Linked DNA regions of Coturnix japonica. The protein of the gene in region 2 binds, or shares a complex with, the protein of the main gene of each other region. Links are inferred from orthologs where the notes say so. Each region holds a gene or a part of one and is shown on either strand. Other genes may lie near its edges.

Region 1 (4,179 bases), on a different chromosome or scaffold from region 2:
AGATCAGCGTTTTATTCTGCGAGCCGGCAGTGGGGAGGGGCGAGATCACATATCCCGCTGTTATCGAGCCCTACCAGCGCCCCGCGCTGCTCCACCCGGTACCCGCCGCCCTCAGGAGCCCCCCCCACCCCCCCGGGGCATCGGGGCTCATCGCTGCGTCCGCCCCATCGGGGGGGGGGTGAAGGTTTGGGGTTGGTGCTGTGGGAGGCACCTCTATCACCGCAGAGAGAGGCTGCCCCACATGTCCCGGAGCTGCCCCACATCCCACAGCTCTGAGACCGCCTGTGTGCCCTTCTCACCTCCAGCCCCAATCTGAACACTATGGGAGGGTGTGTGGGGCACTGCATGGATCTGCCTGCAAACAAGGCTTCATTTCATCCTGCTGGATAACCCAGCAACAAGGGCACGACCTGCGCTCCCCCCTCACCTCCAGCTCCTTCTTTTTTCTCCTTTTTATTACAAAAAAGAAGCCAAGAAAACAACAACACAAAACAGGTTGACATGGAACAAGGAACAGGCGCTCTCAGGCCGTGGGCACGCTCTGCTTGATGATGATCTTCTGCCGCGTGGCTCTCAGACCAGGGTCAGGGCCAGGAGGAGCAGCCCCCAAAGCAGCGGATGCAGCAGCGGCGCTGGGCAGCCCGTGGGCCGTGATGTATTTCTTGTAAGCCTCACGGATGATTTTAAAGGCTCGGATGTTGGAATAGGGGATGTCAGTGATGGGGTCACGATATACAGCGGGTTTGTGGGTTACAGGGCAGATCTCCCGCACCGGCAACCGCGGAGCCTTCGATTTGGGGAAGAAACGTTCAAAGGTTTCATCATCAGTGAAGGAGATGAAGGTGCGGGAGCACTTGGAGCTGGAGGCTGGAGCAGCTTCTGCCTGCTGAGGGTCTTGGTCCAACCTGGAAGAGCCACAATCAGCTCTAAGGGATGCACGGAGCTGGGGGAGCCCAGGCTGTGGGCAGCACTAAACATGCTGCTCCACACTGAGCCCCAGGGATGGGAGCGATGGGGACTGTGTGCAGCATAAGGGAAAAGCATCAGGATCCCATCTGCTGTTCCCAACTCACCCCTCCACGTCCACATTCTCCTCCTTGCCCAGCTCTGTGATGAGGGGCATGGTGACGGACCAGTACCGGATCACGGGCCCCACGCATTTCCTCTTCTTCTGCACCTGCTTCTTCTTATCAGCCTCCAGGCGTTCGTAGTTCTCTGGGGAAGCAGAGATGAGCCCAGAGGGTCTCAGCACCCCCCACTACACCCCCCATCCCATTCCCAATCCCTGTGCTCTCCTCACCCAGCGAGCGGAGGTTGATCTCCTCCGTGATCTTGGCCTCCTCCAGCAGCTCCTCCTGTGTCAGCGGGCGGTCGTAGTTGGGGCCTCCCTTCTTGCGCTTGGATTGAACCTGGCGCTCCTGGATACGCAGGAAGGTCTGACGTGTGTGCTCTGTTGTTGACTGCCTCATGTGCTTCCGGCCTGCAGTGGGAGGATGGGGCTCAGTGTGGGGCCAGCACAGCTCCCAGGGCAGTGGGGTGCCTGGTTCCAGCCCAGGGATGCTGGCACATCCCATCCTGACTGCACTCACTGTCTCCTACTTCATCCTGGAGTTCCAGTGGGGCTAATTTCACCTCTCGGGCCTTTTGGGAGCTGCTGCTGGGGGTGTCGGCCTTCTTGGGTCGAAGGCTCTTGATGGGCTCCTAAGGGTTGGGCAGGAGGGATGTGAGGAGGGAGAAACCACATGGGGCTGCCCCATGTCCTCCAAGGGACACGTCCTCCCCACAGTCAGCAATTAGCAGATTGCTAATTATCCCATCCATCTGGGGCCATCCGTATCCCTTCCCAGCAGGTCAGAGGACACTGGGATGGACCCAGCCCCATCCCCACTTTCCCCTCCTCACCCTGTAGGCCTTGGTGACCACGCGGCGGCGCCGTTTGGGTTCGCTCTCATCCTGGTCGCTCGTCGGTTCCTCGCCCTCATCGATGTCAAAGTCGGAGTCCACCTCATCGTCACTGTCCGACTGGTCGCCCCGGTACTCATCATCCCCCGACTCCTGCAGGGACAGATGGGCAGCGTCACAGCCAGGGCTGCGCTCCACCACCCCCCCATGGGCCATTCATTGACAGCTGCCCCTGGGGGTCCTCCCAGCCCCATTTGGAGCCCCTGTTAAAGACCATCTAAAGCCACCCCTGCCCCATTCTGTCCTCCTAAGTGCCTCCGTCCCCATTCTGACCCCTCAGTGCCCCCAGCCCCTCCAGGACCCCCCCCAGTTTCCCTCACCAACCCCTTCAGGGCTCTAAATGTCCCCGATCCCACTCAGCCTCCATTGCAACCCTCTCATCTCCCCTCACACCCCCATAAATCCCCTTCCAGGCCTCCCCTGAGGACCCCCCGCACCCCCCCGACCCCCTTTAGGCCCCGGGTTCCCTCCCAACCCCCGTCTAAGGCCTCACAACCCCCTCAAACCCTTCAGTCCACCTCACACCCCCATAAATCTCCTTCCTGACGACTCCCCGGACCCCTCACGACCCCCGACCCCCTTTAGGCCCCGGGTCCCCCCTCTAAGGCTTCACACCGCCCCGCAGCCCCCCTGCCCCAGCCCGTCCCGGCCGTCGCACCTCAGTGAACCCCCCATACGTGGTCTGGTAGAACTCATCCTCCTCCTCGGCCTCCAACAATCCCGACAGCCGGTTCCCCGCCGTGCGCCGCGGGGCGCGGCCTTCAGCCAAACTCATCGCGGCGCCTCCGCCGCCATCGGCGCTCGACTCGTCGTCCTGCCGTAGGGGCGGAGCGAACGATGTAGCGCCCCCTTGCGGCCCGGAGGTCCGGAAGACTGGGTTGATTTCTATTGGCTGCTCGAGGAGCACGTGACTCACATCCCCCCCCTCCTCCATACGTGGGTGGTACCGAGGGGGCGTGGCCTCGCGCGAGGCGGCGGCGGGCGCAGGAGGCGGCAAGATGGCGGCGGCGGGGCCCGAGTCGGGGGGCAGCAGCGGCAGCAGCGGCGGCCTCGGGGGTACGGGGGGACTAAGGCCGGGCCCGGGGGCGGCGGGGGAGGCGGAGCTGAGAGCCGGAGGGACGAGGAGCGGCTGGTGGGGGGGGGGGGGGGGGGGGGGGGGGGGGGGGGGGGGGGGGGGGGGGGGGGGGGGGGGGGGGGGGGGGGCGGGGGGGGGGGGGGGGGGGGGGGGGGGGGGGTTGAGGTGACGGTCTCCCCCTGCCCGGTGGGGTGTCGCGGCCGTTGGGGGCTGTGGGGCCGTTTGGCACCGTGTGGGGGGGAGGGGGGTTGGTCACCATATAGTGATGTATGTGGGGGATATGGGGGGTGTGGGGCTGCCCTCGGCCCGGGGTAGGGATGATGGGGGGCACTTAGAGCTGCGATTCGGCCGTGTCAGTGTTGAGAGGGGGCTTACACTCCTTATTGCCTTCGAAGTTGGTGGTAATGGGTCTGGTTTAGGGATGCTGGACGTGGAACCGGAGTGATTTCTACCGCCGTCCCTGGCACAGAGCGCTGAGGCCGTTCCTGATTGCAGGGCAGAGCACGGAGAGCTTCTGGTTGCCCAAAGGGGGACGGCTGGGGGGCTGCTGCCCAGCGGGGCCTCATCTCGGCGGCCTCCTGGCATCGCGCTCCTCATTTGGAGCCTCTGGAAATGGGTCTGTGCCCCCTCCCCGCCCCCTTTGTTGGTGCTCCCTGCTGTTCCCACGGCGCTGTGAGGAATGGGGGGGTCCGTGGCTCTGCCGGCTCAGGGTGAAGCTGCTCTTTCTCCTCCCGCCGTGCTTTGAGTTCCCTTTGGGAGCTCGGAGATGTCACACATCTCACCTCTCTCACCCGGAGGAGGAGCTGCCGCCTCCATAAAGCTCAGAGAGCGTGGAGAGCTTCACATGGGATAGAAGTGCACGAGTCTCAACCTCTTCTCCCTCCCTGCTGGGATCTGCGCCGCCGTTTGCTTTGCAGGGCAGTCTGGTGTTGGTCAGGGTGTTTTTCCTGCTGGGTTTCAATCTTGGTGGCAGAGCTGCGTGATGTGAAGTGCGTTCACTTCGGCTGATCCCCAGCAGTGCAGCATTTAAAGCTCTCATCCCATCTCTGGGGCCTCTCTTAGACTAAAGGGGGTGTCGGGGGGGGTGGTCGGTGGTTGTGGGGCTGATTGCTCTGGGTACGGGGCATTATTTTTTCTAATGC
Region 2 (3,512 bases):
AGCTACCATTAAGCAAACTAAAGAGTAACATCACCACTCCAGCATCTTAATAGTGACACAAGCAGACCTCTCAAGAATATTTCTATCTCACAGCTATTAACTGGAATGTTTAAACTGTAAGTTGGAATTAAGCACCATTTGTTCTACTGCCATCCCACACAGAACACCCAATCAAGCACATTTTCTGTAGCTATATCCTAAAATGCTGCAGTTTGCTCAAGTCACAGCACCTAACGACTCTGTTACTGCCATTACTCACTTTGTTAACTTTATATTCTTTCAGTTCCATCGTTTCTTGATGTTTGAAAGGACTGCTGTTAGTCACAGGAATGATGGGAATAGCGTAAGTAGGTTTCATTGGCTGCCGCTGTGCCATGACCTCAGACACAATCTCTCCACTGTAATCACCCAAATTATACCTGTAATTTAAAAAGTGTAAAAGAACAAGACTGCTTTAAATATTGCTAGTGCTTGTCTGGTAAAAACACAGAACAACATGCAACAGTTAAACACAGAGTAACAGCACTTCCCATTTGGGGTAAGAAGGACTTCCAAGATGTCAGCAACAAGTTCAAAAATGACTATTGCAGGAGACCAACAGCACGCAGATTTTTTCTGCCATGCCCAGTTCTGACAAGGGGAACCATCTGTAATACACCCAACATAACATAATGCAAAGGGTTCTACAGAGAGGCAGAGCCTTGTGCACAAATCCCCTCTGTGCAACAGCACAGCTTTGTAAGATGTAGAACCATGAAACATATTGCATTTCAAGATCTGTGCTAATTTGATGGTCTGGATTTTTTTAGTCATTTTAGCCTTCAAGAGTTCACCTGCTTAGAAAAGCCAGTGCGTCTCTCTACTGGGCATGGTCAGTGCTTAAAAAAGAGCACCTGTTAGAAAGGACTGAGACACTCAGCTCGTGTTCCCAAGATCTCAAACTAAATCACAAGCTGTTTTGTTTTAGAGCCTTACAGCACTGACTCAAAATGTTTTAAGTTTTCAAACATGGATGCTTAGATCTGAGAAGTCCATTCAGATTCTAAATATCAACTGCTAAACAACCAACCCTACATCTCAAATGTGATTCTCAACTCATTGGGAAAGTGACAACTGACAAAGTGGAGCATTTGGTCTCTGCACAGCTGTTGAACAGGATGTCAACAGAAACAAGTTGGAAACAACTCCCAGAACAGTACATTGTGCTGAATGAAATGCTTGTTTTCTTTGACAGGATATTCCCTCATCTACACAGTTATTAAGTTTAACATTTCCATAGGAATTTACCTGAAGCTATAGTCTTCCTTACTACATAATACACAGGACGTAAGATAATTATGTTTTAACACACACGTAATAGAACAAAGCACATTAGCGATACCCATTTTGAAAAAGCAGCCTGCTTTTTTTTCAGTAACTCCCTAAATTCAATTCTGCTCTTCAGTGTCATAAAAGAGAATAGAATATGCCATATTGTTAACAAAGCAAAATGCAAATCTCTTTGCTAAGACAATATCGCATATTATATAAAACATTCATAGGAGCTGACATCTATAGCAGTTTCTGAAGCTTTCTGCAGCACATCTGCAATAACCATTACCTCTTTTCGATAATTTCCAGTGTTAAATGCAGCAATTCCCTCTTGCTCTTTTCCCTCCTCTTTATCATCTCCAGGATGGTTACTGCACGGCTCAGGTCTCGCCGCAGTTTAAGCATCTTCTCATAGGACGCTTCATCATTTTTTCGATTCTGTAGAGGCAAAGTGGTTCATGTTTTCCCACATCATTTAAATAACATAACCTGAACTAAACTAAACTGTAAGTGTTCAGTTCTTTTAAAACATGTGCTAAAACAAATTTAGAGAAACGTGTGCATCTACCAATCAGCTACAGCTTTCTACCATCACAAGTAGGTTTAGCAGCCAATTTAGAGAGAAAATAAATACTGAATACAAACTTCCTTCAGTAACTGGTCTCAAGTGCTTCATCTTTTTTTCCATCCCCCCCCTTACAAATTAAAAGAGAAAAAACACAAAAAGGCATCTTGTATTGTTTTACACTACGTAGCAAGTTTGTCTCTTCAGATAAGCTCTTATGAGAGGGAGGAGAAAGAAGAGGAAACAAGTAACAGGGAAGTATTAATCTACTTACTTTCCTTGTCTGCATCTTTTCTGTTCGTCTCCTAAAAGCAACGTAAGGATCATTTGTGCTGGAGCCATCTCGCTTCTCTTGTTTCACCGCTGGGATAAGAGAGGGCCCTCGACAGTTTTTCCTCTTTTTAATCCAGTACTCGTATACTTCTCTGATCAATTCATCGTCTTCTTTCAGCAACAGCTTGGCCTCTTGCAGGCTGACTGGCTAAATGTAAAACCCAGTATGTCATTGTCATAAGGCATCACAGACAAAGCGTATTTCAGAATTCTTTATTCAAAGCAACCCCATACCTGCTGGCCGCTGCCCTTCTCTAGTCGGTCTATCATCTCTTCAAATTGCAAAGGAGAGATATCCATCCTTTTCTTCAACTTATTGACAAAGACCTCATCTTCTGAATCCATGTCATAATCCGGCTGCTCAGCGTCCAAACTAAAAGCTGAATGATACAATTCAAGCTCAAGTCACTGATCTACTACAGAAACGTTCTGTTCTAACAGCAGTGTCTGCAATACGTGCCAGATTCTTCTGAAGACAAAACCAAAATGATGTTTGCACACTGTGCTAACACTACTCAGAAGTAGCATCTGCCTTTCTATTGAAATATCAAAGATAGACACTGATATCTACATAAACATGCTCATTTTAACTAATGAAAACTTTACAGTGTCTCTATATAGATATATATAGGTATTCATCCCCATTAGATCCAGTGAGAATCAGCTGGATTGGTCAAACCTTCCACCATCTCATGTTCCATAACTGTCCATGTTGTAGCATTCATGTCAGAAGTTAAGACTCCAGCTTAAATGCATTAAGAAGCTCCTAGAGAACTACGTGCACAGCGTAACAGAGACCTCACAAATCACAATGACTTGTGATAAAAAAGGTGTCAGACCAAACTCGTCCAACAGCATCTCCTATGTATGCATTGTAGCAAGGGACCTTCAAATATAAATCACGTATAGCAGAACAAGCTGTTCAGTTTTCCACAACATCCTCTGAAAATACAACATTCAGCATCCAGCACATCCCTGGATCTCAGTTTCATGCCAACTGCTTTGGTTCCCAAGAATACTAATTTCTTAAGGATTCATTCCACACTGTGAAAAGCATCACTGGCTTTTAAAAGATGCAGCTGAATGTTGTCATAGCAACTGAGAGACCACCAGAAGAAAAGGAAGAGTCAAAAACTGCACCTTGGTATCAGCACATAAGACTCCTGGTATTAGTCTCTCCATTTGCTTATTAGAGCATGCTGTTCTGCTGCTACTTCAGCTTATTACTGAAGATCAGACTGACAGAGAAGCTTAACATTAAGCCAGTTATCAACACATAATTACACATATGTACACACACAAA

The links.
Region 1: EPC1 (region 2) and VPS72 share a complex: the UniProt entries of both Homo sapiens proteins name them as parts of the nuA4-related complex. The link is inferred for Coturnix japonica from reciprocal best matches to the Homo sapiens genes EPC1 and VPS72.

Annotation. Positions count from the first base shown.
Region 1 is NC_029540.1:2,245,309-2,249,487, forward strand, and holds VPS72 (vacuolar protein sorting-associated protein 72 homolog), read right to left. Parts: upstream 2,801-4,179; 5' UTR 2,738-2,800; coding exon 2,621-2,737; intron 2,056-2,620; coding exon 1,903-2,055; intron 1,702-1,902; coding exon 1,590-1,701; intron 1,481-1,589; coding exon 1,301-1,480; intron 1,216-1,300; coding exon 1,074-1,215; intron 906-1,073; coding exon 524-905; 3' UTR 438-523; downstream 1-437. UniProt on the Homo sapiens protein: Deposition-and-exchange histone chaperone specific for H2AZ1, specifically chaperones H2AZ1 and deposits it into nucleosomes.
Region 2 is NC_029517.1:12,814,576-12,818,087, reverse strand, and holds part of EPC1 (enhancer of polycomb homolog 1), read right to left. Parts: intron 2,590-3,512; coding exon 2,444-2,589; intron 2,358-2,443; coding exon 2,151-2,357; intron 1,750-2,150; coding exon 1,601-1,749; intron 420-1,600; coding exon 260-419; intron 1-259. UniProt on the Homo sapiens protein: Component of the NuA4 histone acetyltransferase (HAT) complex, a multiprotein complex involved in transcriptional activation of select genes principally by acetylation of nucleosomal histones H4 and H2A.